3 linked regions of the Drosophila melanogaster genome follow. The protein of the gene in region 1 interacts with the protein of each later gene in a pairwise test. Each region holds a gene or a part of one and is shown in the gene's direction. Other genes may lie near its edges. The genes, in order: Tango10, mRpL54 and CRAT.

What was found.
Region 2: the proteins of Tango10 (region 1) and mRpL54 interact in a two-hybrid assay, tested with the Drosophila melanogaster proteins (one large-scale study listed by BioGRID).
Region 3: the proteins of Tango10 (region 1) and CRAT interact in a two-hybrid assay, tested with the Drosophila melanogaster proteins (one large-scale study listed by BioGRID).

What each region holds. Positions count from the first base shown.
Region 1 is NC_004354.4:11,718,130-11,721,885, forward strand, and holds the start of Tango10 (transport and golgi organization 10), read left to right. Parts: upstream 1-2,115; 5' UTR 2,116-2,532; coding exon 2,533-2,898; intron 2,899-3,069; coding exon 3,070-3,756. Other genes in the region: prtp (pretaporter), read left to right, coding at 239-641, 703-1,359.
Region 2 is NT_033778.4:21,059,005-21,062,243, forward strand, and holds mRpL54 (mitochondrial ribosomal protein L54), read left to right. Parts: upstream 1-1,784; 5' UTR 1,785-1,908; coding exon 1,909-2,011; intron 2,012-2,068; coding exon 2,069-2,202; intron 2,203-2,262; coding exon 2,263-2,424; 3' UTR 2,425-2,583; downstream 2,584-3,239. Other genes in the region: cpa (capping protein alpha), read left to right, coding at 1-57; CG15653 (uncharacterized protein), read right to left, coding at 895-1,118, 1,176-1,464; Cht8 (chitinase 8), read left to right, coding at 2,644-2,728, 2,789-3,239.
Region 3 is NT_033777.3:6,371,856-6,375,611, reverse strand, and holds the start of CRAT (carnitine O-Acetyl-Transferase), read left to right. Parts: upstream 1-1,586; 5' UTR 1,587-1,766; coding exon 1,767-1,798; intron 1,799-2,037; exon of another isoform or gene 2,038-2,135; coding exon of another isoform or gene 2,136-2,152; intron 2,153-2,231; coding exon 2,232-2,310; intron 2,311-2,375; coding exon 2,376-3,442; intron 3,443-3,505; coding exon 3,506-3,754; intron 3,755-3,756. Other genes in the region: CG42564 (uncharacterized protein), read right to left, coding at 198-592, 912-1,133.

The sequences.
Region 1 (3,756 bases):
GCGGCTCTAGCAACCAGATGATAAACTCTTTGTTCGGGACAAAGCGCCAAGTCTTATCGCTGTTCATTGTTTTGTGTTCCTTTGTATTTGGACGGGGAAAACAATGTGAGTTTGACCGATTTATCGATTCCTATTTCAAAATCAATTTAATCGCAATAGATTAGGTGTTGAATATGGTTTGTTAGATGTGCGTCATACAGAATTCGTATCCATTTCATATGGCATCTTTTAATCGTAGGTGCGGCCATTGCAAGCGTATTCAGCCGCTGTGGGAACAGCTGGCCGAGATCATGAATGTGGATAACCCCAAGGTGATCATCGCCAAGGTGGACTGCACCAAGCACCAGGGACTCTGCGCCACGCACCAGGTTACCGGCTATCCCACACTGCGCCTCTTTAAGCTGGGCGAAGAGGAATCGGTCAAGTTTAAGGGCACTCGCGACTTGCCCGCCATTACCGATTTCATCAATAAGGAACTGAGCGCACCCGCTGAGGCGGATCTGGGCGAGGTCAAGCGCGAGCAGGTCGAGAACCTTAATATTGGCAAGGTGGTTGACCTTACCGAAGACACCTTTGCCAAGCACGTGTCCACCGGCAATCACTTTGTCAAATTCTTTGCACCCTGGTGCAGTCATTGTCAGGTAAGCCGAATACAATGCCTTCTCGCCTAAAATGCCTAACTGTGGCATCCTTTTCGTACAGCGTTTGGCACCCACGTGGGAGGACCTGGCCAAGGAGCTGATTAAAGAGCCTACCGTAACTATCTCGAAGATCGACTGCACCCAGTTCCGTTCCATCTGCCAGGACTTTGAGGTCAAGGGGTATCCCACTCTTCTCTGGATCGAGGATGGCAAAAAGATTGAAAAGTACTCGGGTGCTCGCGATCTGTCCACGCTGAAAACGTACGTGGAGAAAATGGTGGGCGTGCCACTGGAGAAGACCGCTGGCGAGGCCGGCGATGAGAAGGTGGTTATCGAGGAGGTTGCCGGCGAGGAGGACGCAGCCAAGAAGCTGACTCCACAACAGCTGACTGGCGAGGACGAGTTCGACCAAGCCATTGCCGAGGGCGTTGCCTTCATTAAGTTCTATGCTCCGTGGTGTGGACACTGCCAGAAGCTGCAACCCACCTGGGAGCAGCTGGCCACGGAAACGCACCAGGCTCAGAGTTCCGTGAAAATTGCCAAGGTTGACTGCACGGCGCCGGAGAACAAGCAAGTGTGCATCGACCAGCAGGTGGAGGGCTATCCAACTCTCTTCCTTTACAAGAATGGTCAGCGCCAGAACGAGTACGAAGGCAGCCGCTCACTGCCGGAGCTGCAGGCCTATCTGAAGAAGTTCCTCGGCCACGACGAGCTCTAAAGCATCTGCCGGTTCACAGGGAATCAGCAGTAGTCGAATGATCAAATAATCGCCCGCCAAATTAATTGTAATCGTAATTTTTCTTTCTCCAGCATAAACCTCTGTGAGGAGTCCGCATTTAATCAATATATCCAACAACACCCAAACGACAACGCGCTAGCTGAAATTGATAAATTCAATCTGAGTTCCTTTTACTTTTTTTTCGTTTTTGTCCCTCTTCCTTAGCTGTTTTTGTAGAATTTTTTTTATACTTATTTGTTTAGTGTTTACGTAAATGGGGCACGGGACTGTGTGCGCGATGATAAGCCATTTAGCGAACTTACATTTCAATTTTAAAGTCATTTTGAGTAGCCTACGTTTTAGGAAAATTTGTCAACACAAAGCTAATAAATATCAATTGGAAAACAATAGGCTGCTGTTTAAAGTATTTTATTATTATCTGTACAATATGGTTTATTTGAATAATTGTTTGGGAAAAACCACTATATAATGTTCTGAGAAGAGCTAAAAAACAGATGTTTGTGGGTTTTTCGAATAAATAGGAGTATGCAAATTTTTAAGCTGACTTATTGGCGTTCTTTAAATATTTGTTTAACACACTTTAAAATCCATTTAGATTTTGATGCCACTTAATAGTGGAGCAGACAGGTTTTTTTGATTTGAAATTTTAGCAGCGCGCGCTGTTGTCGATAACAATTTATCGATTACAGATCTAGTCGAGTCATCGAAAACGGGAAGTTTCAAGTATTTTAATTTGGGCTGCCAGATCTACGTAATGGATAAATGTATTTATATGGCACTTAATTAAATGTTGTGTTATTTTTATCTAAAATTGCGGAACCCGGGAAAATACAACTGAAAATGAAATTGCATTTGTCGGATCCACAAGAATACAATTATTACGGATGCGACGAATCCATCCATATATCGCATATGAAGTGCCATCGGTCTGCCCTGCTGTTTGCAATCCATGCCTGGCACACTGCTGCTGCGATATAAATCGTATCGTGTCTGCATCTGTCTGTCGTTGTTTTTGCATTTGAAGTGAGACTTTTTGCCGTGTCTTTGGCTCGTCCTTACGAAGCCGTCCCGTAGGTTGTCCTTGTGCACGTTGTCAGCGCAGAACAAATCCCTAGCCGGGTGCCAGTCTATACCTAATATCCCCGTTTCCCGATGAACGACAACGGTAACGGCGGAGCAGCGCCAGTCTCCGGTGGAGTGTGCGGTGTTGGTGGTGCGCACGGAGCGGCTGGTGGCGCTGATGGTGCTGGTGGTGCTGGCGGTGGCGGCGGATGCGGGGCTGGCGGTGGAGGTGCTGGTGCAGGTCCGGGCGGGGGTCCCGGGGGCGGAGCAGCTGCTGCGGACCTGGCTGGCGAGGCAGCTGGAGGAGCAGCAGGTGGTGATGCAGCCATTAATAACCAAGCTAATGCCAATGGAACCAGCGAGAGCCCAGCGAAAGGACTTAATTCTAGCGAGGATCTGGACGCCAAGCGGCGCAAGTGTCGCGAAACGGAAGAAGGCCAGGATGAAGCCAGCACGGTGGGTACAACGCCAAAAATGTGATCTTATTTGCCAGATTACCAGCCAAGTGTGTTATCAACATTTATTGATTTTGTCCACTATGAGTGGGGACTAGCTCAGACCATAGTATTAAGTCAAGTTGATCCTGGGAGAATGTGCCCTAATCCTGATCAAATCTTACCCATCTAGATGATCGATGCGAATAGTGTGCTCAATAAGATCGCCAACCTGTACGCCGAACAGCTGATGTCGGACATAGTGCTACTGGTGGACGGCAAGGAGTTTCCCGCCCACCGCGTCATCCTCTGTGCCAGCAGCGACGTCTTTCAGGTGATGCTAATGAATCCGGAGTGGAACGAGTGCAGCAAGCACGTGATCGAATTGCACGAGGAAGCCTGCTGTTCGGCGGTGTTTCCGCAGTTCATCAAGTACCTATACGTTGGCCAAATCGAGGTCACGCTGCAGACGGTGATGCCAATGCTGGCGCTGAGCGACAAGTACAATATACGCGACCTGATCGATCTCTGCGTGGACTACATGAACAAGCACGTGGCCAAGGCGGCCACCAGCGGTTATCTTGTGTCCTGGCTGCAATATACGCTCTCCTTCACGCCCACCCACAACGATCTCACCGAAACACTCAAGCGGTTTCTCAAATGGAACCTCGAGATGGTTGCCGAGTCGCGGGACTTTGTTGAAATGGACCCGGCCATACTGATACTGCTGTTGCAGCAGAACGATCTGGTTGTCACCAGCGAGTACAAATTGTTTGACATCCTGCAGACGTGGCTGCTGCATCGTCGCGAACAGATGGAGGCCACTGGCAGTGGCGGTTTCATGGAACTGATCGAACAGACTGTGTCCCACATACGCTTC
Region 2 (3,239 bases), on another chromosome or scaffold:
ATCGACTGGAGCAAAATCGTCTCGTACAGCATTGGCAAGGAACTGAAGACGCAATAAGACCAGGAGGTGCAAGCGGAAGAGGAGCGGACACAGTCGACAAAGCGGCCCAATAGTCTTCCACTTGCCATGGCCAAGCGAGCATAGGAACCGATCACCAGCATTAACACCACAGCATCCGAAACGAAGTAGCAGGAATACGAGAAACGAGGGCGGCCAGGTGCAGGTGCCTGCCGAAAAAGCAAATGTCTGTAATTGGCTATATACATACGAACATATACCTACTTATATATATATATACGGCCTGTATTTATACTGTGTTATACAACGACGAAAGTGCGTAAACATAACTACACATATATCGAGTACGATCGGAGACGATTTGATTGCAAGGATTTGGATGACTTTAGCCTGACGGTGAACGATGCACTGCCGCCTCGTCTACGTCACGATCGCCACCAATTGTCGCCTTTATCGTTTAAGAAGAGCATTAAACGCGGATTTTATCATGTCCTCTGACCTATGTATTATTCTAATTTTAAACGAATCAAGCTCGAGATCTGCGCTCTCGATGAGCCAGTCAATTCTTCGTGTCTTTGAAGACCAACCAGCCGACTCTCGACTATTTTAAGTGGTATCATTAGGAGCACTCATTCAAGTTTTTCGCTTTCCCGATTGTTCACAAACCAACCACCTAGTATGAGCATGAATAATAACTATGCTAAACCACTGATCATTTTTGCCAGCTCTCCATTGACAAACAATAACTAAAGACTTTGATTTTATAAAAACAATAAATTTGTAATTAAAATAACATAACTATAAAACATTTAAGATTGCTTGAATTAGTCAAATTTAAAGAGAATAAACTAATTGAATCGGACATTCGGATTGTCTTCACTTTGAATGTGTTTCTGGTTGTTGATCCGATGCGGATAGAATGACATTGGAATCAACTTGCTGGGCAGTTTGTTTGGTTATACTCTCGGGCAGATCGAAGGTTAGTTCCTCGGATTTTTTAAGCAAAAATCGTTTCTCTGGGTTGAGTTTTGTTTCCAGCTCCAGTCGATCGATCAGCCAGCCTCTATCCGGCTGATTGGACGCCCAAAAGTATAAAGTTCCTGCAAATATAAGGTTGGTAAACGCCAAAGATTTGCTTTCAAAATCGATGGATCTACCTTTATCCTTGCTGCCCCGCACAGCCACCTCACAACGCGCCTCCTCCGCATTGCAATTGTTGTTGGCGTTGGACAGATCGATGCCAGAGTCCTTGATGGGTTCACCCAGGAGACCAACTGCTCCTCGATGGCTCCGCAGTGCCTTCAAGGCCAGTTTGTAGTACTCTGCGGATTTCACCCGATCCTCCATCTTCCATTTCATGTACATCACAGCGGATATGGAGGCCACCGCACCGTAGACACAAATATTGCCCAGTGTTCGGTTCGACGGAAACTTGAGTCCAACCATCTTGCTAACGCTTTTTTATTTACAATCCAGCTGCTGTTACTTGTGTAATATACCGTATAGCCGGCGTCGAATTAGCGATGACAGCTGGTCGATATCGTTATGTGAAAAGGCTTATTAAGACCGAAGTCCACCTCTAAATGCATTTATATGCAAATTATTTGCAGAAAATATAACAACATCATCTATTGTTATGTTGTTTTAGTGACAATTAAGTCATATTATAAAATTGCTCATAAAATTGCTTTTCATTTAAAAATAATTTCGATAGTTATTTGTTTTGAAAAATCAGCTGACTGGTCGTATACTTTATAACCAGGGCTGCAGTGCCACACTTATAGTTAGCAGATTATACAACAAAACGCACAGTTTTGTAAATATCTGTAATTTATCATTTGTTTTTCTATTAAAGTGACGAAAACGGATTAAATAAAGCACATAGCAGACATGACCAGCCTAACCGCAGTTTTCCAGATGGCGAGGCAGCGATTGATAGCCCCAGCGATAGGAAACTGGGCACGTTTTTATGCTGCAAAACCGGCGGCGCCAGGTGAGCCTCCACATCCAGGTTAAATAGTTAACAACTAATAGTAAATGCATTCCACAGCGGGCAAGAAGAAAAAGCTTGGCAAGCTGGGTCCCATCATGGAGAAGAAAGTCATACCCGTGGAAACGGATGCCAACAAATTGGTGAACTATGTGTGCGGAAGTAACTACATGAAAACAGGAGAAGATATCAAAGTAAGTTTACCCTTTCAATTCCTCAATACACTCTTCTGTACGAGTATCTTTGCTGAACAGATCAAACCGGATTCGGAATATCCCGACTGGCTGTGGACGCTGAATACGGAAGGCATAGTTCCGCTGGACGAACTGGACCCCAACTCCAAGCAGTACTGGCGCCGCCTGAGGAAACTGGCCTTGCGGCGCAACAATCAGCTGTCCAAGCTAAAGAAGTTCTAGAACCCATAGCCCTAGGTGTTATCGTTGATTTTGGAGACACAGCCGACCGTCACAGCGGCCCATGTTGTTTGCGATGCTCTCCTGAGCAACAAGTGTGCAAACACCATGTTATTTTGCTAAAAGCGAATTGCAAATACATTTATTGCACCGTCTTATCATAAAATTGAGTCGCTATAAAAGTCATGGAGTTGCGGGAAGTGTTCATTTAGTGGTCAAGCAATGTGGAGCGTATCTGGTTTAGTTAAGCTGCTCCTCGGGGTAATCCTGATGGCAGCATCATCTTCTGCACAAGGCAACTCCTCAAGTATGTAAAAGTATAACAGATTTGCATATTTCGAGGAATATCAGTGAAATCCCCTTGCAGAGAACGTTGTCTGCTACCAGGGCACTTGGTCCGTTTATCGACCTGGTCTGGGCAAGTTCGGTATGGAGGATATTGATCCGTTTTTATGCACCCATCTTATCTACGCCTTCCTGGGCATCGAGGAGACGGGCCAGCTTCGCGTGATCGACGCCTATCTGGATCTTGAGGAGAATAGTGGACGCGGAAATATCAAGAGTTTTAATGCGCTTAAGCTAAAGAATCCCGTGTTGAAGACGCTCGTCGCTGTGGGTGGTTGGAACGAGGGCTCCAAGCGATTCTCATTGGTGGCCCGTGATCCCTCGAAGCGTGAAAAGTTCGTGGATGATGTGGTCAGGTTTCTGCAGCGCCATGGTTTCGATGGCCTAGATCTGGACTGGGAGTATCCTGGCCAGCGTCACAGTCTGGATAACGAGGATCGCTCGAACTATATAACCTTTCTAAAGGAGCTGAA
Region 3 (3,756 bases), on another chromosome or scaffold:
AATTATAACATTCAGATACTTTGTCTCCTAATAACAACAGGTACAATTTTTCGGTCTTTTTATAAATTTAGATAAGATTTAGAAAGGATTACAAAATATTAAAAAATAAATAATAATCATTTCAGGTTGAAATATTTACCAAATCCCGTAAGGACGCCCGAGTAAACAACCCTATATATTCCTTAAGTGGTACTCACTGAGATTCCTGCTCGACATACTTCATGATGTTCACCATCGAAGTTCTGGATTTTTCCCGCAACCACACCCCTATGATATCCCTAAGGATATCCTCCAACTCTGGCAATTTTCCTTTAATGCCTCGATACCCAACCGTCTGGCCAGCGTTTTGCGTGAACTTCGTGTTCCGGCACTCGTCGTGCCTCAGGACACAATCCCTCACATTGAATTCAGCTAGGTAGGCCAGTTCCGGGTTCCACTTCAAGGTGCCCATCCGACTGGCAGGACTCAGTCCGTTGAACCCTCCTTTGGCCACGCTATCCCTCAACTCATTAAATCGCCTTAATAGGAATCTTTCCACCTTTGGGCTTATCACTATGAGCTCAGCGTCCAGAGAGCACTTGTCGTGCAGTTCCTGAAGATATTATTGGTAACAAGTTAGGATAGTAACGCATTTTGGAAACAAAAATAACCCAGAACTTTTAGTATGACATTTTGTAACGAAGGTATACCTCTCAAAAGCCAATCAATTCGAAATTAATATTCGTCACTAATCAATTTTATCAACAAATTTTATGACATTGAAAATTTGAAAAAGTCCTAAATTAATTTATATTTGGCTTTCTTTCAACCATTTATACCTTATATAGTGTATGCGAACAAAAAATGTTGTTTTGTTAATTTGAATTAGTTGGTTGTTATCACGTGGCACACATTTTAGTTTAGTAACTTACGATTGATGCGTTGCAAGCCACATGTTTGAGTTCTTTGTGGCACAAGGAGGGATCGCAGTAGTCCGGTAGTTCCGTTGAGGAGCTGTTTCCTGGCTCCTCTTGACCTTGCGAACCTCCAGGAGATGGGTGACCAGCTTCGGTGACCGCTGGACTTGGTGTCGTAGTGGCTGCCGTTTGAATGGTCAAACAACTGGCAATCAGAAAAACGACAAGGGCCAACATTTTTCATCCAGAGACCGTGGCGTATTAACGTTAGTTTTTCAAAACGTAGATCAAACGGTTCGGACTGTGAAATCACAATTTGCAAAGATCAAATGATACAGCAAAACCAATGGTAGAATTTTTAGCAGATTAAACATTATATTGATAGTTTGGTTCGTCTCATAAAAAGCCGGAACAAATTATTGGGCAAAGTTTTTTAAAGCTTAATTTTGGATTTCCAAAAAAAAAAAATTGAAATCTTAAAAGTTCACGTTATTCTACTTAATAATATTAACGTTTTGAGATTATCATTCGTGCCGAAAATTTACTAAAGTAATTTTTCTGCAAAGAACCCCCCTAGTTTTTTATGAATACTAGAGCTGGGAATTCATCGATATTATTCACAAAACGTACGCTAGCTTATCATGAACATATATTGCATACTAATAGTATTGCTTGTTTTCTAAATATTAGCTTTAAAGAAGTTTTGGAATTGCTTGTGATTTTAATCGATTGTTATCCATTATTGATAGCACAGTTAAACCAACAACAGGGAGTGCTTATTTACTTGTTGCTGTTTGACAACAGCTGTTTCTTGTTTTGATTTGAACATACAAACATATATAAACATATATGTTTATATAGAATCTATAGATGTTAATTAACCGGAGCAAAACAAGAGTGAGGTAAACTTAAATTCTTTATTTGAACTGATGGGCAAGGACAGTCGAACCAGTTAAGGATTATATAAAAAGTGGTTATATATCTAGATGGTAATCATCGTGTATTTCGCTGGTATGGTATGGATATTAAGAGACGCACTCTTGGGAGAGCGAAAGTAAATAAACCGGTCGCTGATAGCATTTAAGTTGGGCTCCACTCCACTCCCACCCTTCTGCCTACGTGGACTGCTCTTTCGATGGCCAGTTGATTGGCAACTGCCGTTTTGCTTGCACTTGCCTCCTCCGCTGGCTGCTAATCGTGAGCCATTAGTTTATCGCTCCTTATAGCTAGAAGTAGATTATGTACAAATATCAAAGGTTAATTCAGTGCCACAGGCACACCAACCGGTGGTTGGACTTTAAAGTAACACTCGAATACCATTTCTCCGTTTTGCAGCCCAACGTCTGAGCGAATCCTCGAGAAAACCGAAGCCGAGATGAAGTTCCGTGGCAATGGAAAGCTTTTGTGGAATTTGGTAGTGCTCCATATGGAATGCTTGTGATTCTCCGTTCGGTAATCTGTATCCCATTCGATTTCCAGACCAAGAACTCCTTGGCCCAGCAGTCTCCAAATGGGATCGCCAAGAAAGTGCTGCCCGCTAGCAGCTACAGCACCGTCCAGAAGACCATTCCCTTGGAGCAGCCGAATCTGCTGAAGTACCACGTCCTGCCGCTGGAGGAAACGCTGAACCGCTTCATGACCACTGTGGAACCTCTCCTGACGCCTGAGGAGTTTCAACGGCAAAAGGGAATCACCTCCGAGTTTTTAAAAAAGCAGGGACGCGAACTGCAGCTGCTCCTGGAAGAAACCGGCAGCAAGGAGAAGAATTGGCTGGCCCACCGCTGGCTGAAGGCTGCCTATTTGACCTATCGAGATCCAGTCACCGTGTTCGTGAGTCCTGGCATGACCTTTCCCAAGCAAAACTTCAGGGACTCACGTGCTTTCGTGGACTATACCGCCAGGGTTATCTATGGACTGGGAGAATTCAACGACATGGTGCACGCCAACAAAATTCCGATCGTTAAAATGGGCAAGAACGAGCTGGACAACAGCCAGTTTGGCAAGGTATTCGGCACATGTCGGATTCCCAGAAGGGGCACCGACGAGATCGTGTACAATCCCGACTCCGATTATGTGGTGGTGATCTACAAGAATCACTTCTACCAACTGAAGATATACAGTAAGGAGGGAAAGCTCATTGCTGCACCATGTCTAGCTGCTCAACTCGAGAATATCGTCTTGAAGGAAACGCAAGTGGGAGTTCCTTATGGTATTCTGACCACCGACTCCAGGGACAATTGGGCGGAGGCCTACGAATATCTGGTTGAGACTCCTGGCAACCGGGATGCCCTCAAGACCATTCAGGGTGCTCTGTTCACCGTCTCACTCGATGAGGGTACTATCCTAAAGGAAGGCGAAGAGACCGACGAACTTATCCTATCGCTGATCCATGGCAGTGGCAGCAAGATAAACAGCGGCAACCGTTGGATGGACAAGACTATTCAGCTGGTGGTAAACCCCAATGGAAACGTCGGATTCACTTATGAGCACTCGCCGGCTGAGGGCCAGCCCATTGCGATGATGATGGACTACGTGGTGCAAAAGATGTAAGTTGAATAGGGCGCATGTGGTTAAAAACAACTTTATATTTATAATTTATATTATTTTAGGAAGGAAGACCCTAGCTTCGGGCAATCTGGCTCACAGGACTTTGCTCCTGCACAGAAAATACAGTTCTCTTCGAGCAATAAAAGTCTAGAGAAATCTTTGAACGTCGCCCAGGAAAACGTGGATAAACTTGCCGATGCTCTCCAAATGAAGGTTCTGAAATTCAACGGCTTTGGAAAGGATTTCATAAAGAAACAGCGTCTGGGTCCGGACAGCTTTGTTCAGATGGCGCTGCAGCTCGCCTTCTACAAGT